Linked DNA regions of Rhinolophus ferrumequinum. The protein of the gene in region 4 purifies or fractionates together with the protein of the main gene of each other region. This does not show direct contact. Links are inferred from orthologs where the notes say so. Each region holds a gene or a part of one and is shown on either strand. Other genes may lie near its edges. The genes, in order: CDK5RAP2, VAPA, MAP2 and PRKACA.

The links.
Region 1: the proteins of PRKACA (region 4) and CDK5RAP2 purify together in Homo sapiens (affinity purification with mass spectrometry; 6 studies listed by BioGRID and IntAct, with this or other methods). This does not show direct contact. The link is inferred for Rhinolophus ferrumequinum from reciprocal best matches to the Homo sapiens genes PRKACA and CDK5RAP2.
Region 2: the proteins of PRKACA (region 4) and VAPA purify together in Homo sapiens (affinity purification with mass spectrometry; 4 studies listed by BioGRID and IntAct, with this or other methods). This does not show direct contact. The link is inferred for Rhinolophus ferrumequinum from reciprocal best matches to the Homo sapiens genes PRKACA and VAPA.
Region 3: the proteins of PRKACA (region 4) and MAP2 purify together in Homo sapiens (affinity purification with mass spectrometry; 3 studies listed by BioGRID and IntAct, with this or other methods). This does not show direct contact. The link is inferred for Rhinolophus ferrumequinum from reciprocal best matches to the Homo sapiens genes PRKACA and MAP2.

What each region holds. Positions count from the first base shown.
Region 1 is NC_046295.1:71,103,446-71,110,738, forward strand, and holds the start of CDK5RAP2 (CDK5 regulatory subunit-associated protein 2), read right to left. Parts: upstream 3,042-7,293; 5' UTR 2,853-3,041; coding exon 2,794-2,852; intron 1-2,793. UniProt on the Homo sapiens protein: Potential regulator of CDK5 activity via its interaction with CDK5R1. Negative regulator of centriole disengagement (licensing) which maintains centriole engagement and cohesion. Involved in regulation of mitotic spindle orientation.
Region 2 is NC_046302.1:8,139,058-8,147,048, forward strand, and holds the start of VAPA (vesicle-associated membrane protein-associated protein A), read right to left. Parts: upstream 3,214-7,991; 5' UTR 2,573-3,213; coding exon 2,494-2,572; intron 1-2,493. UniProt on the Homo sapiens protein: Endoplasmic reticulum (ER)-anchored protein that mediates the formation of contact sites between the ER and endosomes via interaction with FFAT motif-containing proteins such as STARD3 or WDR44.
Region 3 is NC_046291.1:24,036,405-24,043,697, forward strand, and holds the start of MAP2 (microtubule-associated protein 2), read right to left. Parts: upstream 3,122-7,293; 5' UTR 2,902-3,121; intron 1-2,901. UniProt on the Homo sapiens protein: The exact function of MAP2 is unknown but MAPs may stabilize the microtubules against depolymerization. They also seem to have a stiffening effect on microtubules.
Region 4 is NC_046301.1:47,889,967-47,897,523, reverse strand, and holds the start of PRKACA (cAMP-dependent protein kinase catalytic subunit alpha), read right to left. Parts: upstream 3,071-7,557; 5' UTR 2,863-3,070; coding exon 2,817-2,862; intron 1-2,816. Other genes in the region: histone chaperone ASF1B, read right to left, coding at 5,767-5,970, 6,341-6,517.

The DNA.
Region 1 (7,293 bases), on a different chromosome or scaffold from region 4:
AAGGGCCAATTCAAGTCCCAGCAGCTCCGTGGAATCCTCCAGAATCCTCTCAGAATAGGTTCAGAGAACGAACTGGAAAGCCGAACAGGATACTGAGAGCCAGGCTTTGGAGTCAGTAGGCCTGGATTTACATCCTGGCTCGATCATGTACTTTTTGTGGAGCCCCGACTATCCACCTCTCTGAGACTCAGGGCCCTCACCTGTGAAAAGGGGATAATACTGTCACCTAAAAAGATCGCTTTTTATTCAGTGTTAACAAATAGCTACTGAACCCCATTTATGAGCCAGATACCTGGTGAGGACCTAGGGCTACAAAGATGATTAAAATGCAGCCCCTGCTCGTAAATAAATAGGTCAGAGTCTAATCTGGGAGACAGACAAGTTAACTGCACACCTGCACTGTCCAATACAGGCGCCATCGGCCACGTGTGCCCACTGAGCACCTGACATGTGGGTAACCCAAGCTGGGAAGTGCTGCAAGTGTGAAATACATACCAGACTCCAAAGAGTCAGTAAGACAGAAAAGAACATAAACTATCTCATTAGTAACAGTTTGCTGTTTACAAGTTAGAATGATCATATATGGAAATACTGAGTTCAATAAAATATATTATTAAAGTTATTTTCACCTGTTTCTTTTTACTTTTTTAATGTGGCTACTAGAAAATTTTCAATTACATATGTTGCTCAATTAGATTTCTATTGGACAGCGCTCATCAGTACAATCCAGTGAGGTGAACAAGGGCTGCAATAGGGCCAGTGACGGATGGGGTGGCTCGAAGAGTACAGAGGACCCACGTGGGGATGGGGAACTGTCAGTGAAGGCTTCCTCGCAGTGACATCTAAAGTGAGACCTGAAAAACAGTAGGCATTAATATGGCAAAGGGGTGGAGGGAGGGCAATCCAAGCAGCAGGAACAGAAAGTGCACAGGCCGAGAAGTAAGAAAGGACAAGGCATTCATGACAAAGAATCTGGCAGCCAGGTGAGCCCGGGGAGAAGACAGGGTAGGGAGAGGGAGGACCAAGGAGGCTGTGAAGTTGATGGGCCAGACTAGGAACGACCCTAGAAGCTGCATTAAACAACTCCATCCTGAGTTTGGAAAGGAGCCGGGGAGGGTCTGAGCAGGTGAGTAAGAGATTAGTTGCCAGGAATATATGCAGCCCCTTCTCCCTGCGAAGTCAGGGAGAGGAAGGAAGGGAGACTATCTGATGATCTGCTGAGTTGCTGGATCAGACACTGGGCTAAAACGCTTCTAGACTCACCCACTTTACAGATGATGAAAACTGAGGCTCCCAGAGAATAAGTGACTTGTCCAACGTCACAGGATTGATAAGTGGCAGAACTGGGATTGAAACCCACCAGCTAGGTCTGGCCAACTAGCACTGAGATGAGAAAAGCTGTCTGAGAGAATAATGGACTTTATCTTAACGGCCATGAGAAGCATTAAACATAAAGTGCAGACTGTGATGATCAGATGTACATTTTAGAAAGAGCTTTCAAGCTGTGGTATAAAGGACTATTAGGGGCATGAAGGAAAATATGACAATCCAGGTGAGAGGTCGTCCCCCAAGATATCTGGGTAGTCTAGTAAGATGAAGAGAAAGGGACATGAACTGCCACAGGATCCAACGAGGCAGGAGCTGCAAAGGGCCTTCTCGACCTTATACACAGTAGGTTCTCAATAAACAAAGTAACCATTTGTCCAGGTTTGCCCATGATTGGACCTGTTTATGCCTGCTGTCCAGGCATATGTATTAATTGTGCCCATTTCACTCTTAAAAGTGTCTGGGTTTACACAACAAATAACATGGTCACCCTTTCAATTAGGGTCTGTTGACTAAAAGAAGCAGCCTGTCCCTAGTAGATTTGGATAAACACTGCGGATTCTCAGTCAGGCTCTCCTCTGCATCCTTCTACTCACTATCCAACCAGGAGCCCTGGGCAACCAAAGGGCCCTGGCCCTGGGGCCATGCCCGGCTCTGCCAGGCCTTCCTACCAGAAGGAGAGAGACCGGCGCCACCAGCAATGTGGACTCCAACTGCCTCGTTGGGCAGGTCCTTTGGGAGGCCACTCTCTCGACCATTACTCCCCATTCTACTGACAATGATGGAGGCAACACAGTCAATTTTTTGGCACTGATTATGTGCCAGGCACTACACTTGCCAAACAAACTACTGGACAGGGGCAGACACCTTCTCCTTTAACCCTCACCCCGACTCTGTTGGGTGGATTTTACTAGTAGCCCCATTTTACAGACGAGGAGGCAGGTTGAGCCACTCTACCAAGGTCACACAGCTAGTTAGTTTAAAGGGCTGGACTTGAACCCAATTCTGTTCAACTCCAGCCAAGGTTCTTAACCTCTGCCTCAGTCTTGGTGGCCACTATGTGACCCCCTAGCAAAGTCTGCACAGACCAACTACACTCACCATAATGACAGCAAACTCCCAAGGTCCTGCCCCCAACCAGCCTCCACTAAGGGTCCACTCTAAGAGGTCCCCCTTGTCCCGCTCTTTCGGAGAATCCCTTACCTGTCCCTCACATCCCCTTCCCCGTATGTCCCGAAATACGAGAGGCGGGTGTGGTGCAGGTCGTACCCCCCCGCCCCACTCAGTATCAGCTGGTGGGTCCCTAAGGAGGCACCCCGCACCCCAAAAAAACCCACCTTACACACTGCCCCTGTCTGCAAACCTTCAAACACCTTCAAGAGCAAACCCCAAGTCTCCGTTGGAGCGAACCCTCAACAGCTGGAACCCCGACCCGGTTATCGCGAACCCCCAAAATGCGGGCCGCACCTGCAGCCGCTGAGCGTCCCGGGGAGGGTGACGTCCTCTTCCAACACCGAGTCCATCATGGACACAGAGGAGGTGGTAGCACTGGTGCTTGTGGCAGCGGCACCACTGGTTCCCCACGCGGTCGCGACCCGCCGGGTTCCCCAGGTCCCCGCCCCCTCCAATCCAGCTCTTGTTCGGACTCTGGCGGCGCCGCTGGAATTCAAACCGCAGCCGCCGCCATCTTTCCCGGCGCTTCTTCCTACGGAAACGAGGCGGGGTCACCGAGGAGCTTTCACTGAAGCCGACCGGCTGCGGCCCGAAGCCGGGCAGGGATGCGCGGGCAGGCGCCATCTTAACAAAGGGCAGGGCGTCCGCATTGGGGCCCGCGAGTCGAACGACAGAGGGGCCAGCTGCCATTTTTTGTGAGGGTATCCAGGCCGAGGCGGGGCGGGCGCCATCTTTGCTGAGGGCGAAAGCCGGCCTCGGTTGGTTCATTGAAGCGGGAGTCGGGAATGCACCCCCTCACGGATGCTCAGAATTCGTAAAACCTGGTGTGTGTGTTTCTAGGATAATGACCCCGAACCTTGCAGTGTGTGCTTCCAAAAGGCTTCTGCCTTGTCTTGAAACTCAGATAATCGGGTGCTGCTTCGCTTTAGAAAAATCCAACCTGTAGAATCCCAACTCAAGTAGTAATTTGTGCACTTAGTTTGAAACAAACAAGCTCCTTCCTATGAGCCAAGTGGTCAGCGGCACTTACTATGCAGTCTGTCGCCTAATGATTCCTTATTACCTCTAGGGCTCAAACGCACCTGAGGTCGGCAAGCTGAGGCACACAGAAAGGAAATGACTCGCCCAAAGTCATGCACAGTAAGTTTGTCACCTCAAGCCAGATCTGTGGCTCCTGCCAGCTGCATCAGGGATCTCTGCATAACCCTGGCGACCTTCCTTAAAGCAGAGCCATCACCAAACACCTGGATAATTGGGGCAGAACTTGGCCAGTGAACTCAACCTTCGTCTCCCCATCTCAAGGTTGCTACCAGGAAAGCCCTGGATGAAAATACCTTGAAAAGATGGGCAAGTGGGTAGATGGTGACTTTCCCTACAATCATGTATAAGACCACCCGCACCGTCAGTTTCCTCCTTCTTCAATTGAAGAGTTACTTTCCGAAAGAGGCCTTCTCTAATTCTCGAAGGTAAATCAAGCCCTTTCTTATAATCTCAGCAATGGTGTTTTTCCTTCGTAGCACTTAACACATTTTGCAAGTATAACAACTTCTGCATTTGGGGGTTTTTTAATGTCTTCCTCTTGCACTAAACTGGAAGCTCCATAAGGGCAGAGACTGTGTTCCGAATTGTTTACTGTTATATCTCCCATAACTATCACACCCACCAGGTGTTTAAATATATATGTTGAAGGAATGATTCAATCAATCTGGAAAATGGGGCTAAAACCTACTCTGCAAGGTTTTTGTCATGAGGTAAGAATGACCTGAGATACCTTTAGTAACTCAGTCAGTGGTAATCCCATGTATCCCACTCTCTCTCTCTCTCTCTCTCTCACTCTCTCGCTCTCTCCCTCCCTCCGTCCCTCCACCCCACCAACCACCACCTCAGTAGTAAACCTACAAAGCTCATAGTGATGGTGTATACCTGTCCCTCTTGCTTCCCCAGATCTTCAACCACTCCTAGAATCAGCAATAAAATAACAGTCTGAGAGAGTGTGCAGAAACCAGCAGCATGCCGCATGGCCTGCCCCAGGGAAGGGGCAATCCTTGAACCCCTGAAACCAACAGTTCTTCCCAGTACTACATATGTCCAACAGCAAGGAAGCTGGGGTGTCAGGATTCCCACCCTGGTTTGGCCACCAACTCTCTGTGATCTTTGGCGGACCATCTCTCTTCTCTGGGCCTCAGTTTCCACATCTGTAAAATAACAGGGTTGGGCTGGATGGATGTCTCAGGACCGCCCAGCTCTGGAGGTGATTTCTACTAATGCACGAGCAACTCTGTTCTGGTGAGGGAGGCGAAGTTACAAATCATCACTTCCCAGATGGGGGAACTAACTTTCCATCCAGCAGCTGAAAGCTCTTGAGAAAGAAAACAAGGAAGAGGACTTTACATATTCTGAGTGTCTGTGCCACTTGTGCCAGGCATATCACATGCACCACCTCATTTTACCATCACCACAGCCCTCTGGAGTAGGCGCTATTATCCCCATTTCACTTACAGGTGAGAAGACTGAGGCTGAAAGAGGTAAAAAGAACTTTCTCAAGGTCTCACTGCAGAGCTGGGATTTGAGCTCAGGTCCTCTCAACACCAACACCCTAATTGTTTCAGACAGCCTATGTTTCCTATTCGTTTCTTTTTCTCCACTTTAGAATTTATAATTAAGAGGTGATGTCTACATCCATACAACAGAATTTCAGAGATGTGTTCTCCCGACTCTACTCCTTGGGCAACTGCTTCAAGGTGGCCACAAGGTGAATCTTAGTGTGGGCAGTAATGAATGCAGGACTGGAAGTCTAGGCACCTGGATTCTCACTCTGGAAACTCCTGCAACTTATTCTGTGACCTGGGGTCCCTTCTGCTTATTCCTCCTTGGTTTTCCTACGTGTCAAATGGGGCAGACAATGCTGAGCTCACATAGTTGCATTATCTAATTAGATACTTTGGAAACTATAAAGAAATAGAGTTCTTATTTAATCCATTGCCCCATTCGGCAAATGACCGTGTTCCTGGATGGTGTGCTAAACCCTTTAGTGAACCTGGAAACTGAAAATAGAATCAATCATACAAAGGATAGGCTATTTGGGAAGTTGTTTTTCCTGTTTTCATGGTCAGGGACGAAGCCCTTTGCCCTGTCTCTGTCTCACCATGGCCTTTCTTTCTGCCAAGCCTGGAGGTGACGTCACTACCACCAGCTGTCTGGGCTATCTGGCGCCATCTCCTTGACAACAGCCACCCAGCCACAAAGCTGGCATTATTATTTCCTTGAGCAAGGTCATATTGAATGGCTGGGAGGAAGTAGCTTGCAGACAGATGTTTCTCATTAGGGTAGAACCCTCCTGAAGTTTTAGCAGCTCAAGCATCTCATTCAGAATACGTGAGCTGCCATTACTAACAGCAAGAAAACCTTTTTATAGGGTCAACACATACACATTGCTGCTGTGCACTATTTCATTTTATCCTGGTGACGCTCTGAGGTAGATTGGAATTATTGCCCTGTCCTACAGATGAGGAAACTAAGGCTCAGAGAGAGGACAGTTTGGCCAAAGGCCACTCTTCCCCTTTCTTTCTTTTTTTAGCTTTTCATTTAGAAATAATTTCAGACTTAGAAAAAAAGGTGCAAAAATAGTGCAAAGAATCCCTTGTGGAGCCTTCACCCAGCTTCCCAAAATATTAACATCTTACATAACCATAGCACAATTGTCAAAAATAAGAAATTACTGCAATATGATTTACTACAGACCTTATTTAAATTTAATCAGTGTTCCCATTAGTGTCCTCTTTCTGGCTCAGGATCCCATCCAGGATCCCACGTTGCATTTCATTGTCACGTCTCCTGACTCTCCTCCAATCTGTGGCAGTTCCTTTCTTTCTTGCATGACGTTGACAGCTTTATGGAAGTTCTTGCCGGTTATCGGATTGCATGTTTCTTAATTTGGGTTCATGTGGTGTTTCCTCATGATTAGATTGGGATTATGCACTTTTGGCAAGAAAAGCACACAGGTGACACTGTGCCTTTCTCAGGGTATCAGAAGCCAGGTGGCGTTAAGATGTCTCACGCATTGGTGATGTTAACTCCAATCTCTTGGCTAAAATGGTATCTGCCAAGATTCTGTGTGGTAAGATTACTATTTTCTTATAATTAATAAGAATCCTGGGGGTGATATTTGAGACGATACAAATGTATTGTTTTTCATCCAACTTTCCCCCACTGATCATCTATTGATAATTCTTACCCAACACAATGACTACAGTGGTATTTGCCACTTGGTGATTTCCTACTTTCCTCATGCCTTCTATATTTATTAGTTAGAATTCTAATGTAAGGAAGAGCTTTCTCATCTCCCCCATTTATTCGGTTGTTTATTTAAATCAGTATGGACTTGTAGACACTTCCTTTATCTTATGGGTCATAATCCATTACTATCATTATTTCGTTTGTTACACATTTGTCCTAGATTTGCCCAGGTCACCGTTCAAATGCGTAGGTGCGCCAAGATTCAAACCCAGGTCAGTCTTGTCCCCAGGTCAGCAGCTTTCCCAGCACAGCACCCTGCCCCTGGCTCTGAAGAAGTCCCCCAGCCAGCCTCCCCATCAGCGTCCTTGACCAGTGCCCAGCCAGTACCCGCTGTCGTCTCCAGAGCATGCTGGGTACTGAGCCAGTGACGCCTTGTAGGCCCCACATGTGGTCCCGGGCTGTGCACATCGTAGGTACTCAGTAGTCAGATTCACTCAGTCCTGACTTTTCTCAAGATGGGAAAAGGAATGAGAAATGCCCCCTTATAAGGTGACAGCA
Region 2 (7,991 bases), on a different chromosome or scaffold from region 4:
ACCTATCAGTCAAATGTAGAGTCAAAATAATTCAAATAAACGTACTAAAAGATGACATTTTGCAAACTATCCTTTGACAGACTTTTACTTCAATTAAAAATTATAGGTGATTTAGGGCAAGTCTGTTAAATGAGTTTTTATATCATCACCAAACTGAACATCAGGAGATTGTTAATTCTGAATGAATCTCCTTACTTACTATTGAACTGCGCACTGGAATACAGAGAGGATTCCGTCAAAGCTAAGTACTTACTTTTGACTAAAAGAATAACATTAAGGAGGAAGAAACCAAATACCACCAAGTGTCACCTAATTCATCCTATCCCTCCTCTTTCCCAATCCTCCCCATTACCCCACCTGTAAACAGAAACACACAGCAAACCCCTGGGTATCTAAGTATAAGCCCTACATTCTCTCACATCTGCGGTAGAACAAACCACACTACTCCCTTGCCCAACCCTTTCCCCCGCTCCTCAACGGAAAACAAGCTTCTTCCCAGAATGCTTCCTTAAGGAAAGAGAGGGCAGGGAGCAAGGAGCTTCTTGCCTCATACACACTTGTTTTGCCTCTGACATAACATCTATATGCCTTTGATGTCTCCCTTCAGCTGATACCTGCTGAATGAATTACTCATTGCTTAAATACTCTGAATACAGGGACAGCAACAAGCTTTCAGTAAGTGTCTGCCAAATAAATGACCCAACTGAATGTGTCCCTATAAACTTTTCAATGAAACACTTTTTCAGTCAATTTTAAAAGGTAGTCATTGATGTCCAAATTTTTAAAAATGGGCCTTGTGAATTACTTTCATCCACAGCACTAGAACAGCCTATTCTATACTCATAGCTAGTAATTCTTCAATATATAAAATAAGTAAAATATACGGATGTCATTGTGTAATGTTTTTGGTTAACTTGCTTCTCTATTATAAGTCTCTTACTATGGCAACATTACAACTTCTCTAGGGAAAAAGCTTCAAACTTTCGGTATTTCCTGGCCTAAACCTAGTTAAAAAGGCTTCCAAGTCCCTAACAGCAAAACACACACGGTTATCCAATAAAGGAAATTTCCTCTATAAACTCAGCCTGTCAAAGAGTAAAAGCAAAATACTTAAATTCTGGAAAGAATACACACCATAAAGGTTTACACTAAATTCCTCCAATCTAAAATAACGACTATTTGAATTAGGTAATTTCATAATTACCCACAGGCTTTTCTTTTTCTTCCAGTTAAAACTATGTGTAATCATGCCCCACGCACCAACTTGAAACGTAAAATGCACTTAGTGCCCGTCAAGGTATTTCGTAGTTGTCTTAAAACCAATCCTGACCTAACAAGCAGCTCACTTACGTTTCCATTCAAAGATACTTACAAATGCACTAAAAAGCTTGCAAAATAAAGGAATTATATAATACTACTCTAACATAATGCCAGAATACACTCTTTTAAAATTCCTAAAACTATTTACAACTTTTCTTATGAAAAATATAATTGTGCTGAGTGACACCTTATCACCCTTATCAGGCGTTTGTTGAAAAACCGCAAACGTAAAGGCAAAAGTCACAAACACTTAAGATTCCGCAGCAAAAAAAAGCTAAATGAAAGGACTAAACAGGAGCAAATACCAGGTCTGCTCTACGCGGAAGGTAAGCTGAAATGTCCTATCGGAGGACCAGGAAGACGTCTCCTATTAACTTACTATCAATTCTCGGGCTGACGCAGAGCTTTCCTGCCCGCACGCGCTTGGGTCTCTGCCAATACAACCGGGTAAGTCATAACCAGAAGACTTCGTGGGCTTCTCCGCCTCCCTAGCGCTCGATGTACCTGACAGCCGACTTACAAACTGGGCAAAAAGGCAGGGAGCAAAACCCTCGGCGTGGGCCGAGGGCGGGCTCCACCCAGCCCGTCCTCAGAAGGCGGACTGAGGCAGCGGAGGCCGAGGAGTGGTTCTCTCTCGGAACCGAGTCCAGGGGCTGCCGCGCCACTGGCTCGCCGCGCCTCGCCTCCCAGCGCCTGTGACAGCCCGCGCGGGAGACCGCGGCCCTTGCGCCAGCCCCAGAGCCCCCCTTTCCCCCGCAGACCAGAGCGTAAGCTCGAAGGTCACCGCCCACCCACGCCCTCCCAGACAACGCCCGACGGCCCTCCAGGACTAAGGACAAGTGCCAGACGCGGGCAGCAGCGCGGGCAGCACCAAGAGGCGCCCCCGCGGGACCGCAAGATGGCGGCGGCGGCGCCAGGGCCTGGCCCCTCCGCCTCGCCCGGGCTGGCGCGCGCACCGAGGCGCGAGCGGCCGAGCGAAGGACTGGGCCCGGCTGCGGAGCAGGCAGGCCAAGGGCCGGAGCGAGGCGCCGCGGGAGAACGAGAGTGCTGGGGCGTGGGGGAGGGGACGCTCAACTAAGGCCCCGGCCTCCGACCTTCCCTCCACACCCACCGCCCGCCCCGAATCAAGCCCTCCGCCCGCCCCACCCCAGTCAGGGGCTGCCTTTTTCCTACCTTTGAATTTGAGGTCTGTGGGCGGGTCCAGGACCAGGATCTGCTCGTGCTTCGCCATGGCCCCAGAGGCGGACGCCATCGGAGACAGCGCAGAGCGGGGGCGCGCCCGCGGCGGCGGTTTGCTGGCTGGAGGCGGGGGACGACGGTGGCGCCGGCTCACCCGAGCTCTGTGATGGGGCCAGCGCACGGCTCCCGCACCCCGACGCTTGCCGTTCTGTCGCCGGGTCGGTAGGCCTCCCGCTGGGTCAGCAGCTTCGGATCTCACAACTGACTCAACCTCACACCAGCCGTCGCGGCCACGCGCACTGCGATCCTCGGCACCCCACGTGACAGCTTTTGCGTGCCTACGTGCGCGCCCCGGGAGCCAGGACTCCCTAGCACTCGTCCCGCCCTCGAGTCCTGCCCTAAGAGGCGCGGGCTGTTGCGCCTGCGCACTCCCGGCCTCGTCGGCGCCCGGAGCATAGCCCAGCTGTCAAGGGAACGGGTGTGGAGAGGGGCGGAACCAAGTTCCGTGGAACTAATGCGGTTTGCACTGCCAGGCAGGCGGGCACAGTGCTCGTTCACGCTTAGCTGCTATTACAAAACTGGAGAACCCGTTGTGGTAGTGCATCACCATCTCCCAAACGGGAATACCTAACGGAAGGAAGGAGTAGTCAGACTCACTCACCACAACTCCCAGCATGCTTTGTGCGGAGGGCGGAGCCGCTGCCTACGGCCTGTTCCTTTTGCGGCACTGCGCGATGCTTGCTGGGAATTGTAGTAGTGGCTGTTCGTGGACGGGAAGGAGAGTAAGGTCTCTTGGAGGCCAATGGGCTTGGGCGTGCTGACACTCTTTTTGGCTCTCCGATGGCCTCTCGTCTGCGCTAAAAAGAAAACAAAAACTTTTGGAGACTGACCTGAGGTCCCCTGGTTAGAAATAAAAATATTCTCTTTGGAAAACATGCCGGGATTTGTCGGTTTTCTCTCAAATCCTACCCGATCCTCTATTAGTAGAGGTAAATTCTGTGTCGTATTCCAATCCAATCTCTTCTGCTTCCTGAATACTCCAGTGATGCAAAAGCAGATGAGGAAACGAACCTCATTTTAAAAGCAAACGCGTCGTTGGGGAAATCTGACAACGCACACGTATAAAGCTAAAAATAAAGTCAAAATCTACAGCGTTCAGTTGCTGTAGTCAATTCATCAGTTTTGATTAATGGTAGACCCAAACCAAAACAATTGTCACGTTAACATACAGGAAATGAATTCCATCTGCATCATTTACGGTGGCATGTAGCAAACTGAGCCAAATTAGAAAAATCTCAGTAGCAAAGTTGCTGACAAATCTTTAACCGATTGCCAAGGTAATGGGGATAAAATCATTAAATGAAACAAATAAATGTGCTATAAATAAACCTACTTGAGTTTAAATTCCTAGGAAGTACCACGAAACAAAAGACATACTGATGTTACTACCATGAAAGAGCAGCCCAGGTAGTCTAGAAAATAAATGAGAGACAAATGGGAACAGTAGTGGAGGCGTAGGCACAAAGTCCAAGTTTTCAGGTGCAATCCATGTATCAGAGCCCATGTGGGAATAGCTCTCTGGACTACATAGCCTAGCATTCACAGAAGATTGTGCTACACAAGAGGAATGTATCTTCAGTCATGAAAAATCTCAGAAGATAGGAGTGCTTAAGTAGTTTGAAAAGCATATTCTAAATTTACCTTTCCTTTGATTTCTATTTATTAACAAAATTTATTTTAAATGTCAATTACCATTAAAGGAGAATACAAAAATTGTATGTTTACCAAAAGGGGGGGGGGGGGCTTAGAGCTTTAAAAAAAAAAAAAGTCGAGGTTGACATTCACTCCACAAGATAGTGTTCCACATAATTTTAGTTATGAACTGACAGCCCTAAAACTGACACAAACTCCAATTTTTTGCTTGCCTAAGATGTCTTATCCATGGGCAAGTTAGCCGTGGCTGAAGTGGTTCCTCCACAGCGAGAATGACACTTCTCTTACCAGAAAGCATATGAATCCCCACTGTGCAAACAACCAATTAGAAGGTATAGCATGCTGAGGAAGTTCCCAGTCACTCCCCTATGGGACAATGGCTGCCCATTCACCAAGAGTTCAATAGGAAGCCAGAATTGGATGTATTCCAGTTTCCCAGTCTGTATCATTAAGAAACCTCTGCCCATTTAAGTCATCATCTTTGGAATCAACTGTTTTTCTCTTCTCGATATTGCTTCAAAAATCATATAGTACAATCTTAAAATCTATAGGAATTTAAATATACGGTAATCTATTTCAGTGGTTTGTGCTTGTATATTTATCAATACCTTTCTCAAACAGTTCAAAGAACTTTACAAACATCATCATACACTACTCAGAACAACTTTATAACAGTTAACAAGTGTTAATTTATTGTTAAATATGAAAATGAAAACACAGGTGAGAGCATCTCACGTCAGTAATGGAGCTAAACTATGGAAAGTTACCTAATTTTTCATTCTGTGCATTTTTGCTCTTCTCAGTCACAATAAAATGACAACCAAGAGTAATTAAAGCAACCATTTAAAATGTAATTGACTTATCTAAGGTTTAACACTTAAGCTAGGAATGGAAAGATATATAGCCTAATGTTCATTACTCTTTTTACATTGATTAACGCAGCTCTCCTGAGATATTAGCAAAATATATCCAAACGTATTTCTCTAGCTCTCAAGCTTTCCTGAGTATAAGAGGTGTGAAGACCTTGAATATTACTTCGACCTACTTGAATTACTAATAATATTCACCTTTGGACAGATTATCTCATGGGTTTGGCAAGGATTAAAAAAAAAAACTACCAGTTTCCAGTACAAATGCTATTAACAATGTATACCATCTTCTCCATAGTTAAACATGTTAAACTTTAGAGGAGTTCTATAATTCTGAATATGTTTATGATCAATTTTCTGCATAATTCAATTCAGTAAACATTTAAATGGGCACGTTTTCAATAAATATTAAAGCAGTAAAATGTATTGAATAAGAGTACAGGCTTTGGATCTGAACTGGTGGGTTCAAGTCCTGTTCTGCTCTATGTGGTCTTAGCAACTTACTTGAACTCTTTGTACCTGTTCTACATTGGTAAATTGGGGAGAATGATAATACCTATATCTGAGGTTTGTTATGATAATTAAATGAGTTATTACACATGAAGAGCTTAGAATACTGCCTGATTCCAGGACCGTTTCCTTATTAATGTTAAATGTTAAATTATTGCTGTGTGCTGGGCACAGTGGTAGGTTATACAGTGATGAGCCAATGGACATGGTCTCTGCCCTTACAGGCTTATATTCAGGCAGGAGAGACAAACATGAATGCCCATTTGCAGCTAGGATTCTGTTCTTGAAATAAGTTCAACTAGTGAAGTACACTCATGTGATAGCGGAAAGTTAGAACTGAGATGGAGGCCAGCTTTTTGCACCTTCTGGCTATTTTTCTGCTGAAGCAAGAGCACAGAGACTTGAGGCTTTTTGCCTAGCATTCCAGTGCCCATGTACCAGCTTCCTGGATGTCAAGACACAGTTAATTGTTGCAGGGTCAGCAGAAGAAGTAGTTCCTTCCTGAGTCCAGCTTCCTGATCCCTGGGTCAGAGGTAAGAGGGGCAGCCTCAGAGGCAGCAGCTGCCCTGATGGGGCAGTTTATTCTTGCCCTGGGAGTTATTCTTCATCTAGAGCCTGCTCCTCCACCCTTCCCCAAAATTTTATTAGCACTTAATTCCCTTTATTGTGTTGCTTCCTGCTTCGGATTTTAGAGTGCTGCAGAGAGTCAGGTGTCATGGAAGCCAAGAATGGATCAAGAAGGTCAATAGCGTAAAAATCTGCTGAATTGTTAACTATAAGGTGAGGACTAGAAAACTTTCACTTGACAGAGTAACATGATGCTGCAGGTAAAATATGAATGAAACAGAATCACTGCACACGAAGAGCTCTTTCTAAAACTGATACATATGCTTTAGAGCGATAACCAACAGAAATATGCATAAGGTCAACAAGTATCACAGAGACGCAATGCTTGTATAAATGTGGATATGTTGGTGGGGCTTATTGTAGCATATATGTCAAACTTCTGTGAGAAATATAGGTTCCAAGAGAAGGCCGATGGAAGCTGCACCAGATCAAATCAAGTCTGGAAAAAGAAGAATTAGGAAAAAGACTTACCCTGGGACTTTTCTTTGTATGACAGCTTAAAGCAGTTAAAACTATATGATTAAGCATCTTTGTATATGAAAAATAATTTGAATAATATGTGTTTTTTCAATTAATCTTTTATACTGTAAAAGCAATATGTCCTTATTGTAACAAGTGGCACAATCCAAAAGCAAATGAATAAAGTTGCCTCGTACACCTCCAATTTCCACTCCCCGGAGGTAATCAGTGCTAACTGCTTGGATTGTGTATCACTCCCCAACTTTATCCATACTTATAAAAACATAGCTAGTTTGGTTTGGGGGCTTTTGTTTTGTTTTGTTTTACAAGAATTCTAACATATTACTTCACAATTGCTTTATTCACCTAACAGTGTATTCTGGATATCTGACAAGGTCGACTGGCATCAAACTCAGTCTTTTAACAGCTGAATACAGAGAATAGATTCTGAATCCAGAAAATACCCATCTATGGTACCATTTGTTCCCTATTGATGAATGTGTAAATTGTTCTAGGCTTTTGTCACAACTAATAGCACGGCAATAAACATCCTTATACACATTTCCTTATTACAGAATGCTTTTATTTCCACAGGGAGATTCCCAGTGATGCAACCACTCTATCAGTGACATTTCCTATTTCAATACATACTACATACTGTTTATCCAAAGGGTTGTTGTAGTTTATACTTCTATCAGGAATGTATGAAGGTGGCCATCTCTCCCATTTTCACCAAGTGCTAGATCCCACCCCATACCAGCAACAGAAGAAGGGCTGCGTATAAGTATCCAAAATTGTTTGGGTCAATAGTGTTGGCCTCCAAAATTGTACATTTTCATTGAATCCATCCTTATTCTTTGAACCCATCTTCTCCTCTTGATATTCCATTTTTCTTCTCTGGACTACATAGATTACAGCACCTGTAAGCTAAACAGATTCACTGCAGTTAATAATGTGTTTTCTCCCACAAATACAGTTATTCTTAAAGGAAACCAAAGGTGCTTATGAACATTAAATACACATTTGACTCCCTGCCTGACTTCTCATAGTCTCTGAACATACAGGCTTCTTTGTATAGCCCTGACAAAACCTAGAGTAGATGTGGGTGAAGAACACAGATTTGGACATCAGGCAGACTGGACTTCAGTCTCCATCACTTTTTGCCCAGTTGTGTACTTAAACTCTACAGCCATATTTATAAAATGGCAATAATACAACATATATTTAATATTGTTTATGAGTCCTAAATGAGATAACGTTAATAAAGTGCTTAGCATAGTGCTTGGCAAATAGTAACCTTTTAATAAGTGATTG
Region 3 (7,293 bases), on a different chromosome or scaffold from region 4:
TATGGTCTGTCTTACATGAGCTTCAATGAATAATTTAGGGATGCCCAGACTGTCATGTATTACATCTAAGCAAACGTAATAAACATTTAATTTTCAAGTACAACAGTACCACTATCGTTCTCAAAAGCATAGATAGCAGTCCAGTCTGTTATCTAGTTGCAAGTAAAATTCAACGCAAAATGTGTCATAAGAAAACATGCAAAATTACACCAGCAAGGATGTTTCTTCCTTCTCTCTTCTGATGTTTAGAATAATTGCAAATTGATTTACACCAAAAGTGGTACAGGAATGAAATTATTCCTTCAGGCTTAGAGGATTCTATGCCAAGTTTCATTTCTGGATGCATATTTTTGACCAAGTTCAAGAGCCCAGAAAAGAAATACATAAAAGAGAAAACATCCCTTTACAGTCAGGAAAGCAACATTCCTAGAGGCTGCTATGGGAAGAGAAGGCCTGCCCTGAGATGGGTGTGCTCCTGGCATTTGGTTTCCACCGAGACGACGCTGGCTCTCAGAATATGAAGTAGTAGCGGCTATGATGAGGTAATGGCTGTGCCAGTTTCACTGGGTCATGCTCTCTCAGCACATTCTTTCTCCTTCTCCTCCCTGAGAAGGTGCTGTCAACAAGTCATCTTGAGAGAGAGTTGCTATAGAGAATTAACAAATTCTAAATTCCAAATTCCTGAGAACACTGGCCCTGCTTTTGGTGGTCTAGACATAAAGCAGCACAGATAGCCAGAAAGAAACAGGTTATTCCACAAGAAGGGAGTGGAGGTGGGGAGGGAATAAGAGAGGAGAGAAACAAAGGAAATAAAAAAATTAATGTAATCAAAACGCTATTTTTTCTTTTTTAAGAAAAAGGAAGCTCAATTTTTAAATTGCTTAGATCTCCACTATATATTAAGCTATTTTCTGCCTATGGGTCAAAGTTAAAAAAAACTTTCGGAAATTAAATAATATTATAGCAAACTGTAAAATACTATAAATTCAAATTAAATCATGAACAGATAAACAGCATGTACCACTGATCCTAAAGGCACAAGAGCTCTGATAATATGTAAATCATGAATACAGATGTAAACCTATGATAATCAAATAAAATTACCAGGAAATCAATACTGATACACACACACAAATATAATATTCTTTATTGAAAGAAAAAAAACGCTTTTCACCATTTCTTGGTGGGAGGATGCCTCCATGCATAAAGGGGGAGGGGTCATTGAAATACTCATGATTTACAAATTCATTAAGATTTCTACAAAAATACATAGATGACTATTGCCCAGTTAAAGAGGTGTTTTGTGTTACATTCAGATGAAAGAATGTAATCCTCCTCTTGGGAATTCTACATAGCTTTTATGTAATCTACTTTCATTGCAAAAAAAAAATTATAATTGCCCACAGTGAAAGACAGGGTGACAGAGCTATGCTTTATACTGGGCTGGTACCTGCAACTCAAGCATGGGACATTTTGCATAATAGGGTTCACATAAAAGGCTTTGTTCTCCATCGCCTCACTGTGGCTGCAAACCTCAATTTCACTTTGTCGTCACTGACTCTCACAGATGGATCATTTAAAAATAAATAACATCTTTAACATTGAAGTGAATTCCTTACCAACATTCATCAATCCCTCTACCTCACATTCAAAATTATGTACCACCAACAATTTTTTGTTATGCACTACAGATTTCATTTACACCATAATTCCCAAACGTTCAAAGATAAATTTTAAAGATTTATCTTTTAAGTATCCACTCCCTTTAGTAATATTATGTATATAGGGTATTATATGTGTATGCGTGTGTGGTGTGCACAAGCAAATGAGTGTGCGTGAGTGTGTATGTGTATGCATTTAAACAAAAACATTCACATTGAGTCAGTTTTAAAGGGTCTATGTCCTGGAAGCATTATGCTAAAGACTTACAGCAGATGGCACACAACAATCGTGAGAAACGGGCATGTTGCTAATGAGAGCTTTTTATTTTCTGACAAAATCCCGAAGTCCCAACGACAGGCAATATAATATCAATATTCCAGTTTTCAAGGATTTTTTTCTCCTGACACCGTCCGCTTTACTAACCCCCGCCCCCGAACCAAACACACACCTTCCCGCTCCTCTCACACACTCTTTCTTTAAATTTCCATCCTTAAACAAAAGAGGAGGTTGGGGAAGAGAGACACCCAGCACTGCAGCCCACCCCAAAAAAGATTTTTTAAAAAGAAAAGCATAGATGGACTGTAGGTGCCGCTTTCCACTCCCGTGGTTTAAAAAGAAAGACTGTGGATGCTCAAGCTCATCCAGACTCTTTTTTTTTCCTCTCGTGTCCCGCCCTCCAACACAACCAGACACTGATTTCTCATTTTCCTAAAAATATTTATCTATTTTCCTCTTCCAGCTGTTTCTGGAAGAATAACAGGGAAAAAGATTTCAAATTGACAAGGCTCCCTAACTAATACCTTCGTGTGTGGTTCTCTGCAGCTAGATGGACAAAACAATCCTCTACCTCGAAATCGTTTTTTCCCACCATCTTTTTGTAATTCACGCTTCATCTTCCTACACCTCAGGTGTAGGACAAGTATCCTAACCTGACGTAAATTTCCGGGAGTTTCAAAGTGGTACCTACCAAGGTCGCACACCCTTCTACAAATCTAGAGCTCAGGTAACAGCGCCCGGTCACCAGCTTCATAGTGACACCTGGAGAGGCCGGGCCTGCAGCTTCGGTCAGGTAGGAGACTGGACAGCTCGGCCAACCTGTGCCTGCTCCTAAGGCACAGCGGACGAGACAAGCCCTGACCCATGCCCATCCCATTCCTGGCTGAGGCTACCTTTACGCGATGAACAAGGTAGAAGGAAAGACGCCCTATATAGAACCAGAGGTGGGAAAGCCTCTCTTACCTGGACGCAGAAACTGGATGCATCCGCGGTCGCCGCTGTCACTGCTCACCGGCTGGAGGACGACCTAATGCCCTCGGGAGAAGGAGTAGAGAGTGAGACGGGGCAGGGGAAGAAGGAGAACAAAAGAAGACAGAGAAAGAAGCGGAAGGGAAGAAAAGAAAGAGAGAAGGAGGATGCTGCTGCTGCCGCCACGGCCGCCGAGAGCCCGCGCAGCCGGAGCGCTCGGCCCAGTCTGAGCACCGCCCCCGCCGCCCGCTCCCGGCGCGGCCGCCTCGCCCCGCCTTCCCTCCCCGCCCCCTTCAAATCCCGCCCGCCTCTGCTGGCCGCTCGGCGGCGGTGGTGATGCTGGCGCTGCCACCGCCGCAGTGTCCGGGAGGGGGAGCGCAGCTGCCACGCCTCCTGCCGCAGCCAGACCGCCGCCCGGCGGGAATGATGGGGGTGGCAGCCTCAGAGCGCCTGCCAAGACGTGGCCACATGCAGGCCTGGGACGGCGGACCCCTCAAGAGAATCCCACCCCCTCCACTACCAACAACAAATTGAGACCAGCGCCCTCAGAACAGAAGTACCCGGCAGATCTTCACCCACGTCCTTGAGGAAATCAGCTTAGTCTCTCTGGGAGGCGTCCCCCACTGACGCCCCTCGTTTCCTTCCTCTGTCACTGTGGGCAGTGGTTCCTGTCACTCCTCTGTGGGGAACACTCACTAGCCGTGCTTCCACAAACCTAACAGCAGTTGCAGAAATGATAGAGGAAAACTGGGGAAGCACAAGAACAGAGAACACCTCTTTTCAGGACTTAAGGAGCAATTGCTGAAGGTTTAGAGAATTCTAGAACCAGCTTTGTCACTAATCAGATTCGTTCATTCATTTATTCATTCAACAAATGTTAATCGAAACCTATTATGTGTTAGACACTGTTCTAGACACTGTGGAAACATCTGTAAATAAAAATAGACCCTGTCCCGCCCCAAAAAGCAACCCTGCCTCCATGGACATTGCTTTCTAGAGAGCCAGATGTATGATCCTGACACCGCTCACTTAATCTAAATCTCAGTGTATCAGTGTGTCAAATGAAGATTTAAAATGTCAGCCCTGCCCCTCTGGCATGTTTAATATGAGGGTATAATTAGATAATAAATAAGAAGACTCTGTGAAGACTATGAAGAGTGATACAAGTATAATGAGTAGAAAGCACAGAAAATGTTGACTTTGAAACATCACCACTTAAGGAAATCATCTCTTAAATACTTCTGAAAGTGAAATGACCAACTGAGAAAACAGATGATTCCTTACCGTGGAATCTTCAAATCAGAGAACAGCAATTTATTGTAAGAGAGGAAAGATGCAACTTAGAATTGCTTCAAACGTTTATATCAAGTACTGCTAAGGTGTTTTTACGGTCAGCCAAGATGGTGCGAAATGGCTTGTATAGTTTCAACAGTGCTGAGGAAACAGCAGCTGTAATTTGTTGTATTACTGAAATCAGCCAAGGAATCATAGAACCAGAGAACATTGGAGCTGATTTCTTAGGCATTTGGTCCAATTCCCTCAATTTTCAAATGGAAAAAGAGACCCAATTATGGGAGGCTGTAAAGATTAGAAGCTATAAGAGTAAGATCTGAAACCCTGGCCTCCAAGGTCACACTCCATGCTCTGTGTATATTTACTGCCCTCTGCCCAGCTTTATGCCATGTCTCTGTGACACTTGCAATGAGATTGGAAGTATCAGGGCACACTTAAGTAGCAGGGAGGTTGGAGGAGTTAGAGCTCCTCCTCAGAGCATGGTCTGATAGGGAAGAAGGAGGTTTTAGGAGACTATGAAATGATGCATAGTATAGGATGGAAGGAAGGAGTAAGAATTCTGCTAGAGTGTTAGCCATTGACATTCAAGACCTAGCATGCTGCTGCAGAGACTCATTGAGAGTATCCCTTCAATCCGGCATAGTCCAACTGCTGAGTGTTTCTCAGTTCCTGTTAGTTCCGTGCTACTTGACACACAAACCGCATTCTAGAAGGAAAGTACTCCTACCTTCCTTCACTTCAGGCAGAATTTCCCTGAGTCTGTATCACCTCTGAGCTTAGACAAATACAGCTTCAGGCATTGTGCACAATCCTGCCTCTCCTCACTGTTGGCAAATCAAAATATTGTTTAGATTTCTCAAGCTTTATAGTTAGTCTTGAAATTAGGTATTGCAAGTCCTGCAGTCTTCTTCTTTTTTCAAAATCCTTTTGAATTAGCTAATGCTTTGCATTTCCATATAAATTTTGGTGCCAACTTGTTCATTTCTATAAAAATAATGCTGTTTTTAAATTAAAATTGTGCTGAGTTTATAGATCAATTTTTGGCAGAATTCTCATCTTAACCTATTAAGATTTCCGATCTGTGAACATCGTATAGATTTCTATGGGTTTAGGTCTTTTTGAGATTTTTTTAAAAAATATTATTAACAAGTTTTATTTCCCAGAGCAGTTTTACATTTAAAGAAAAATTGAATAAAACTACAGATTTCCCAATATATTCCCTTTCCCTCTACCCACAGTTTCCCCTGTTATTAACATCTTTTGCATGGAAGTGGCACATTTGTTACCATTGATGAACCAATATCAAGATATTATTATTAATAATGTCCGTAGTTTACTTTAGGGCTCATTCTTGGTGCTGTAGTTTTGCAGGTTTTGCCAAATGCATATTGTCATGTATCTACCACTATAGTATTACACAGAATAGTTTCACTGGCCGAAAAATCCCCTGTGCTCTACTTATTCCTCCCTCCTTTTTTTCTCCTCCCTGTTCTGACGTCATATAGTTGAAATCATACAGTCCATAACCTTTTCAGACCGGCTTCCTTTACTTAGCAGTAAGCATTTAAGATTTCTTCTTTTCATGGCTTGATAGCTCATTTTTTTAAATCACTGAATAATATTCCATTGTATAAATGTACCAGTTTGTTTATCCTATTTCACCTATTGAAGGATATTTTGGTTGCTTCTAAATTTGGCAATTATGAGTAAAACTACTATAAACATTCAAGTTCAGGTTTTTGTGTCGACATATGTTTTCAACTCATTTAGGGAAATTCCTATGTACACTATTACTGGGTTGCATAGTAGACTATGTTTAGCTTTGTAAGATACTGTCCAACTGTCTTCCAAAGTGGTTGTACCTTTCCACCAGGAATGAATTAAAATTCCTGTTGCTCCACATCATTAACAGCATTTGGTGTTGTCAGTGTTTCAGATTTTAGCCTTCCTAATATGTTTATAATTGTACTTCATTGCTGTTTTAATTTGCTATTCCCTAATGACATATGATTTTGAACTTTTTAAAAAATCTTTATTTGCTACCTGCACATCTTCTTGGTGAAGTGTCTGTTCGGATCTTTGGACCATTTGTAAAAATTGACTTATTTTCTTATTGTCAAGTTTTTAAGTGTTCTTTGTATATTTTGGATATAAGCCCTTTTTCAGATATGTGTTTTGCAAATATTTTCTCTAGACTGTGGCTCGTCTTTTTACTCTTTTAATTGTGTCTTTCATGGAGTACAACTTTTTAATTTTAATGAAGACTAACTTACTAATTTTTCATTCATGGATTATGCTTTGGGTGTTACACTTAAAAATTCATTGTCAAACCCAACATTACTAGGATATTCCCTTATGTAACCTTTTAAAGTATAATAGTCTTACGTTTTACATTTAGTTCTGTCATAGCTCATTCAGGCTGTTATGACCAACTGGATAGCTTATAAACAACAAACATTTATTTCTCAGTTTTAGAGGCTGGAAAGTCTAAGAGCATGGCACAAGCAGATTCAGAATCTGGCAAGATCCTGATTCTTTATAGATGGCAGCTTCGTATTATGCCCTCGCATGGTAGAAGGGACAAGGGAGCTTTCACTGGCCTCTTTTATAAGCGCACAATCCCACTCATGAAGGCTCCACCCTCATGGTTTAAGCACCTCTCAAAACCTCACCTCTTGATACCATCACATTGACAATTAGGTTTCAACATATGAATTTTGGAGGAACACAAATATTCAGTCTATAGCAAGGTCTATGAATAATTTTGAGTTAATTTTTGTGAAGGGTGCACAGTCAATGTCTAGATTCAATTTTTTATTTTTTTTTTTTTGCATATGGGTGTCAAGTTTTTCCAGCACATTTGTTGAAAAGACTATCTTTTTTCCACTGAATTGCCTTTGCTTCTTCATCAAAGATCAATTCACTATAAATGTATGTCTATTTTTGGGTTCCCTATTCTGTTTCATTGGCCTATTTGTCTATTCTTTCATCAGTGCTACATTGTCTTGATTACTGTAGCTTTATAGTAAGTCTTGATGCTAGGTAGGGTCAATCTCCCAACTTTGTTCTTCTCCTTTAATACTGTGTTGACTA
Region 4 (7,557 bases):
CCCGGGCCCCTGCCAAGGTTTTGGCATCTTTGAGTATAGATTTCCCCCACCCCACCCCAGGGCTTGTTTTAGATAGACAGATCCCTGCTCTCTTGGAAGGAGGCTGGCACTGTCTCGCCCAGACGATGGCACAGGGGGCTGGAGGATGCCTAAGTAGTGCCTACTAAGGCTTGGACATTCTCCTTACCCCAGTAGGGTTGGTGTCTGGCAGATGAAATTCAGGTGCCCCCTGCAGGATGGCCTGGCTACTGCCCTCTACCCCCCACCCCAGGCCTGGCTCTAGTTATATGAAAGCAAATTTTGTCTAACTCCATCCTTGCAGAATTAGAGTTCCAAGCAAAGAGGGGCTTCCTTCCTTATCCTGTTTGCTTCTCTGAGAGTCCCTGCAAGCCTCTAGAACTAACTACAGCTTCAGGCGTTTCCTGATATATGACATAGGTCCCAGTGGCAGGGCTAAAAATGATTTTAGGTATGTTTCACTTTTCTAGTTACATTGTATTTCAATGTGTAGCAGAGAAATGTAACTGGCACAACAATTCCATGATTTCATTTATATTACTGCTTAGGATGGAGCAAAGTTTACATCTGAACAAAAGTGAATCAAACTTTTATTATTGTAAATTAAGGAAATATAATAGAGTAAAAATCAGGGAGGCAGCTTGAGAATGTCTGGGTTGGGAAATTCTGGGGTCCAGAAAGTTGGCTGGAAGGTGGATCTATGTGAATCCTGCCTCTGTGACATCATCTATGTCAAACTTAGAGAGGTCGTTTGGAAAATTCAGAAAACAGCCCGTTATGAAAACCACTTGAGCAGAAAGATCTATGGAGACCATTTAGCCTGGCACATCCTAGATGCCCAATAAATAGTGGCTCTATTTCACTGTGATGGTCAATTCCTGAGTATCTGGCCTGTGCTCTGAGAGATTTAGTGGTCACTTCCGGAGCCTCTGATCTTTTTCTTGGGGATCCTTTTCCCTGTGTAACTTTCCACCCCCTCCCACCCCTCCACACACACTGCATGTGTTTGATATGCCTTGAAAGTTTTCCAGGACTATGTCATCTCCCCAACTTTCAACTGAGCCACTGCAATATATAGCTGCCTGCCTCCACCTTCTACCTCCCAGGCCTCACCTGCTGGGGGCCCAGCCCCTCCCCCCTCTGCCTAGTCCCCTCCAAGCTCATGCCCAGACCTTTTTTGGTCACTATCCACCTGCTCCTCTGTCATCAAGCACTCAGCTACAGGCACTTGCCTCCCTGTCCCCCGCCCATTGGTGACATGTCAGGCCTCCCCATAGCTGCTTAGTGACTCTGAGTTCTGCCATCTGAATCCATGTGGGAATAAAGTTCCCTGGATTTGGTGCCTGGGTCTTTCTGGGAGAGGGCATTCAGGGGACTCAGACATTGGGGTCTGAGACCAGTAACTAGGAACAGCATATCTGGCGTCGCCTTTTTCATCTCTGACTATTTCTGGGTAACAGGAAGGGTATCCTAGCTGAGGTCCAGCTTTAGGCCTGGAGCAATGACAACTTAAGAGCTGGAGGAATTGAGGAAGGGGCTCAAGGCCATTTCTGAAGGCATTTCCAGATACAGAATCTCTTTCTCTGGCTGGCTGGAAAAGGCCAACATAATTTGAGGTTTGAGGAGGAACAAGCCTCTCTCTGGCTGAGCCCAGGGAGTGATCAGGATGTCCCTTGGTAAAAGGCAAGTCACTGGATGTCACCCACTACTCCACAACTGCCATCCCTCAAGTCCCCTTTCTCACCATCCTGGCTCAAGCTGAATGAGCCTTGTTAAATCCAGACACTCTTAATCCCCCCCTTTTCATCCTGAGCCAGGAGCGGGTGAAGAAGCCCACAGGACTGGGTGAGTGACGGAGCCTCAGTTGTGAAACAACCATTTATTATTGAGGACCCTCCAAGGAGTCTAGCTAGAGCTCACTGCACCACAGGAGATAGAAAGGGGCACTCCTGCCGCCGCCCCTTCTCCCCGCCCCCAACCCAGGAAGGAGGATGCAATGAACCCAGGAAGACCAGCTCAAACTTGGCTTTGGACACACTGAAGCAATTCTCTTGGTTCATAAACAGTCTGCTACCCCAACCAGGGACAGACGCTTGCTCAGAGGAGAAAGCACAAGCACAGGAGCAGAGTGACAGAGAGTGACAGGATGAAAGGAGCAGAGGGACCCAGAAAGATCCTGTCCCCCATGCCAAATGACACAGAAAGTAAAAACAATGCTGGACATGGCTCTGGGAAAAACTCAAGGGGACAGAGTGGGTTTGGAGGGGGGCTGTGGTAAGGTGAAGAGGGGAAGGACAGGAGAAAGATGGCGGGGGCTGGAGGGGGGAGGGGTGTGGTCACCAAGTGGCCAAGGTTCCTGTGGGGTGGAGACAGACCCCACAACACTCCCAAGACTGTCAGAAGCTTGGGTTGGGGTATTGCGGTGGGTCCCATCTGTGGGATTGGCGAGTGAGGAAGTAGGGGGGATTAGAATCTGGGAAGAGGGTCCAGGAAAGGAGGGGGTGCGGTGGTGACAGGGCCCCATGTGGGGCCCCAGCGGTCATACGTGCCATGGTTGGCAGTGACAGCTGGGTGGGGGGGACACAGTCTTTGCAGCGAGGGGCGGCTTTTGGCAAGGTAGCCCCTATGGAGGGTCTTCTGCGGGACCTGGGCCCCAACCTTGGACAGGCAGGGGGAGGGCGTGCTGGGGGTAAGCAGAGAGCAATGGGGGGGCACGTGGGGGAGGGGCCAGGCGGTGATGGACAGGGCGGGGGTTGGCAGCGCGGGGCCGGGATCCAGGTCTCGGCCCGAGCACTCACCGCTCTCCTGCTCACTGCCCTTCTTGGCGGCGGCGGCGTTGCCCATCGCGGCGGCGGCGGCCGGGGCCGGTCCCGGAGCTGCGGCGCGGCGGGTGCTGGCGGCGGCCCCGGAGCGCGCTGGGCGGCGGCGGCGGCGGCCCCTAGGGTTGCTGCGCTGGCTGCGGCGCCGCGACCCCCGCCAGGCCCCTGCTTCCCGCGTCTCTCCGCGCCCGCCCGCCCGGGAACCTCAGCCCAAGTCCGCTGCTGCTGTCCGTGACGCTCCCGCAGCCCGCGTTCATTGGCCCAGGCCACCTTGACTGACGGCGCCGCGCTGCCGCCCATTGGCCCTCCGCGACCCTCCCGCGCTGCTATAGGCTCTCAGCCCCGTGACGCGTGCCGCGGACGCCCGGCCACTCGCGCGCCTGCGAGGTGCCTGATTGGCCGAAGCTCGCGACAGGGCTTGGGGATCGCCCAGCGAGGCCGCCAATTGGTCGAAGCGCGTGGTCCGGCCAGCCCCCCACAGAACATTCAGTGTCAATCCCGGGGTGAGAGGGCGGGGCGGCGGCGCAGCTTGCTGTCGGGGTCGACCGGGCGGGGCGGCGGAGGCTGGCTTGCTCCGAGGCCCAGAAGGCGGTCCAGGCGGGTGCCCGCCAGCCCCTGTGCGCGCCGCAGTCCCCCGCCCCCGCTCAGTGCGGCAGCGGCCGCCGGCCAGCGGGCGCCGCGGACCCCCGATGCTGCCGCTGTCCACCTGCCAGCGGGGGAGGGGCGCAGCGGCGCCGCGGGTCAGAGGTCGCCGGGCCGTCAGCCGTCGTCAGTTTTAAGGCCTGACGCAGGATAACAGTGGCAGGCCCGGGAGTGGGGGTGGAGCTCCTGGGTCTCCCCCAGCCACAGCCCGAACTTCAAGAGGATGCTGGGCCTCGGGAGCAAGGGGCGCTTGGGAGCGGAGGGTCAGTGCCCATCCCTTTGCTGGGCGCCCACGCTGGGCTCCTGCCAGTAGTAAGAGCAGGCACTCGTTAAATACATTACTTCCTACTATGGCTGTATCACGCAGGTACTATTATCGCTCGCATTTTACAGAGGAGGAATCTGGGGCAATCAGGGTGAGGATTCCGTCTTGGAGTTGGAGGGAACCTGCCCTCCAGGGGCAGAGAAGTAGCAAGATGCCTCTTAAGGGTGCCCTTTTTATACATACACAACTTGAGGGCAGTGTTTCCCACTGCCACACTACTCACATTTCTTTGCTGGCGCGGGGGCGGGGGTGGGGGTGGTTGTCTTCTGCCTTATCCCCAGTTTCTCTACCCATTGGATGCCAGTAGAACCTTTTTCTCCACCGGATTTGACAACTAAAACCCTCTCCAAACATTCCTGAATGTGCCTGGGAGGCCAAAATTGCCCACAGTTGAGAACCACTGAAGCAGAGGAAAGCCCAAATAGGTGTCCAGCAGGGCAGGGGACAGGATGAGCCAGCTCTCCTTGACTTAGAAGGGCTATGGGGTCTCAGGTCTATAAGCTGATTCGCTGCTCTGCTTATAGACTTGTACTGCCTGCATCCTACCCAGCTGCTCTCTGCACCTATGCTAGGTCAACTATAGTCCCAGGGAGGAAAAGTTGGGGCACTTCTGTGAATTATGGGGGAAATGGCTCACCAGCCAAACCACTCCACCTCTGGCTGTGGGGTTACAAAGTAAGGTTAAGTAAAATTTAATAAAAGTATGCTGTGTGTCCTTGGAGTACAATGTTAATTTCTTCCTGTGGGTCAAGGTCAAAGTCTGAAAAATCACTGGTTATGCTCTATCTGCAGAACAGCTGGGTTGCATAACTTTAAAAAAAAAATCCCTTCTCAAACCTCAGTCTGGATTACAACTATATAACCAATTAAGACTAGAGCAAGAAGCTGAGCAAGGGGCCAAGGGGCAGTGAACCCCACTGGTTGGAGCAAGAGGACCCTCCACTATGTCCCAAAGAGAGGAGACGGACAAAGATGCCTCAGCCTACCTGAGACAAAAGCAGAAACAACCAGTCTAAATTAAGTGCTTTTTATTTTTAGACCAACCGAACATATTTAATATAAAAACCCTTTAATATACAAACTGCAATCTCAACAGCATCCATGTAGCAGCAAGGAGATGGGGGCATGGAGGGGAGCATGGCAGGGGGAAGGAAGGTTTTCAGGGTCTCTCCTGCTTCCCATGCCTGCGATCACTCTGCGGCCCATAAGAGCATGAGGTCTTAGCAGAGGGGTTCAGATGCTGACACTGAGACCGAGCATAGCAGGCCCCTCCAACATGGCATCTCCCCACAGTGGCAGCCTCCGGGAAATCCAGATTGAATTAGGAGGCAACAGGAAGGTGGTTGTGACTGAGAGTCAACCATCATTGTTCAGCATCCTGCTGATCACACTTTTGGGGACAGTTTTCCAGGGGCTGTTGGATTGAAAAGACCTAAAAATTGTTCTGGGAGGGCGGAAATTGTGCCCAAGTCCACTTTCTAACCCAGATTCTTTGCCTGACTCCAGAAAGCTGGGTGGATCTACTCAGATGTTTGGGAAAAGAAAGGAATGATGGAACCTTGGCCCAACAGGGTCCAAGCCTTGCCAACCATTGATCTTCAAAGTTTCAAGGTAGGCCAGGGAGGTCTGTGGGAAGAGCTGTGGGTACATAGTACTCACAGGAACATGGTAGGTAGAATGGCCTGCAGGTGAAATTTATAGTGTGTTTGGAAGAGAGAAAGGACACCAGTCAGAATTAAGAACTGAAGTACCTGCTTCTTATAAGCCTGGGTAGTAGAGATGAGATGATCCTTCTGGGCCAGGGCTGGGAGAGACCTGAGGCCTGTTCTTTACTCGGGGACAAGTTTGACTGGCCTGGAGTAGTTAATGGCCCCAAAGTCCTCCAGATGGCCCCCACAGGACTCTCCGGCAGGCCCAGTTGCCCCTTCCAGATATGTTAGGAGACTGGCTGCAGTCCCCCAGTTAGATGCAGTCCATGGAGTTCTCCGGGAGAAGACTGGGGATGTAGCCAGGGAGCCCCAAGCCTTTGATAGGGGTGCAGCTGAGGGGGAGACCGCAGCCCAGGGCAGGGTCCTGGTTCTCTGTGTCCTCCAGCCTGTCCATGTTGTCCCAGTTGATGTGGAAACGGGTCACCCGGGGATTCGAGGCCAAGATGTTCCGTTGGAGCTGGGGCAAGAAGAGGAACATCCACTTGTCAGTATGCCCTCTCATTATTCCCACAGAGCCCGGGCGCTCCCAACCCCCCACCCCAGGAAGTGCAGACCTTACTTGTTCCATCACCACCAACAATATGTGTGGGACTCCAGGGAACACCTGTGCACCATGATTTAGGGCCGGGAGCTATCTAATCTTGATTCTGCGAGGCATGCTTCTGAGAAACAAAGCCTCCTCTCCCCCTGTTCTAACCCGGTGCTGCAAGATCTGGGTGCTACTTGAAAACCTTAAGAAGTGACCTTGGCTCCAGATTCCAATGACTCAACTCCCTCCAAGTGCAAAAGAGCCTGCCAGTCTGGAGCAGGAAGTGCAGAGGCCCCACCTGAGAGAAGTCTGGCTGCAAAGGCGGGTTCTCCCGCAGCTCGGGGTCGGAGTACTCATTGTTGACATAGTAGCCCACGCGGATAAACTCCTGCCCATGGTAGGTACAGGTGATGAGGACGACGGTCACACCGATGGCATCGCTCTCAGGGATGAGGGATGGGTTGGGGGCATCAGCCTACGGGAAACACATCCTGGGCCTTAGCACCAACTGCCACAGTCACACCTTGACCAGTAACAGTCATTCTCAAGCAACATGTATTTATTGAGCCAAAAGTATGGCCTCTGCCCTTGGGAGTTTTCAATCAAGTGGGGAAGAGAGAATCAATCATGTAAATGCCTGTAAAATGCTGGATGTGACAGGTACCACCAAGTAAATGGTGCTGAGGAGTGTGGTAAGCAAGGAGGAGAATGGCATGAGGTTGAACAAGTGGGCAGGTAGGTACCAGGCTACCCAGGGACTATTGGGCCAGGTAAGGGCTTGGGGAAAAAAGTGAGACATTTAATAGGTTAAGTGCCACATCACTCCTGTAGCCTAAAAAGATAATTCTGGCGGCAGCGTGTGGAGCTGTGATGGAAGAAAGCCTTCATGGGAGCAGGGAGACCAGGCAGGAGTCATCCTGGAAAGAGGTCAGTGACTTAGACCAGGCAATAGAGAAGGACAGAAGTGGACAGAATGGGGATATGTTGTTCTGGACAGAGCCGCCTACATAACTGGTATAAATGAGACCAATACAACATGAAAACACGGGGCTCTTGTGTTCAAAATGAGTGTTCTTCAGCCAGTGACAACAGAACATCCCACCAAGCCAGGAGTCGTGTGTGACCGCCTGGGTCGCACACGGAGGAAGCTGGCCCTGATGCTGTGGAGCTAGGGCTTGCTGGCAGGTGTGATACAGGAGGGTGAGGGTTAGGTGGTGGAGAAGGCTGCTTAGACTGGGGCGGGAACAGACATGGAAGGGAGTGAAGGGATTTGAGAAGAGGCTCTCAAACTTCATGTGTATTAAGAATCACACTAAACCTGCATTTCTCACAACCACTCTGACACTGGATTAAGTCTTTTAGCAGTTACAGCAGATCCTCATTATTCACTGATTCTGTATTTGCAAATTTGCCTACTTGCTAAAATTTATTTGCAACCCCAAAATCAATACTCAGGGCACTTTCATGGTCATTTGAGGATATGCAGAGAGTGAGAAAATTGAGTTGCTTAATGCG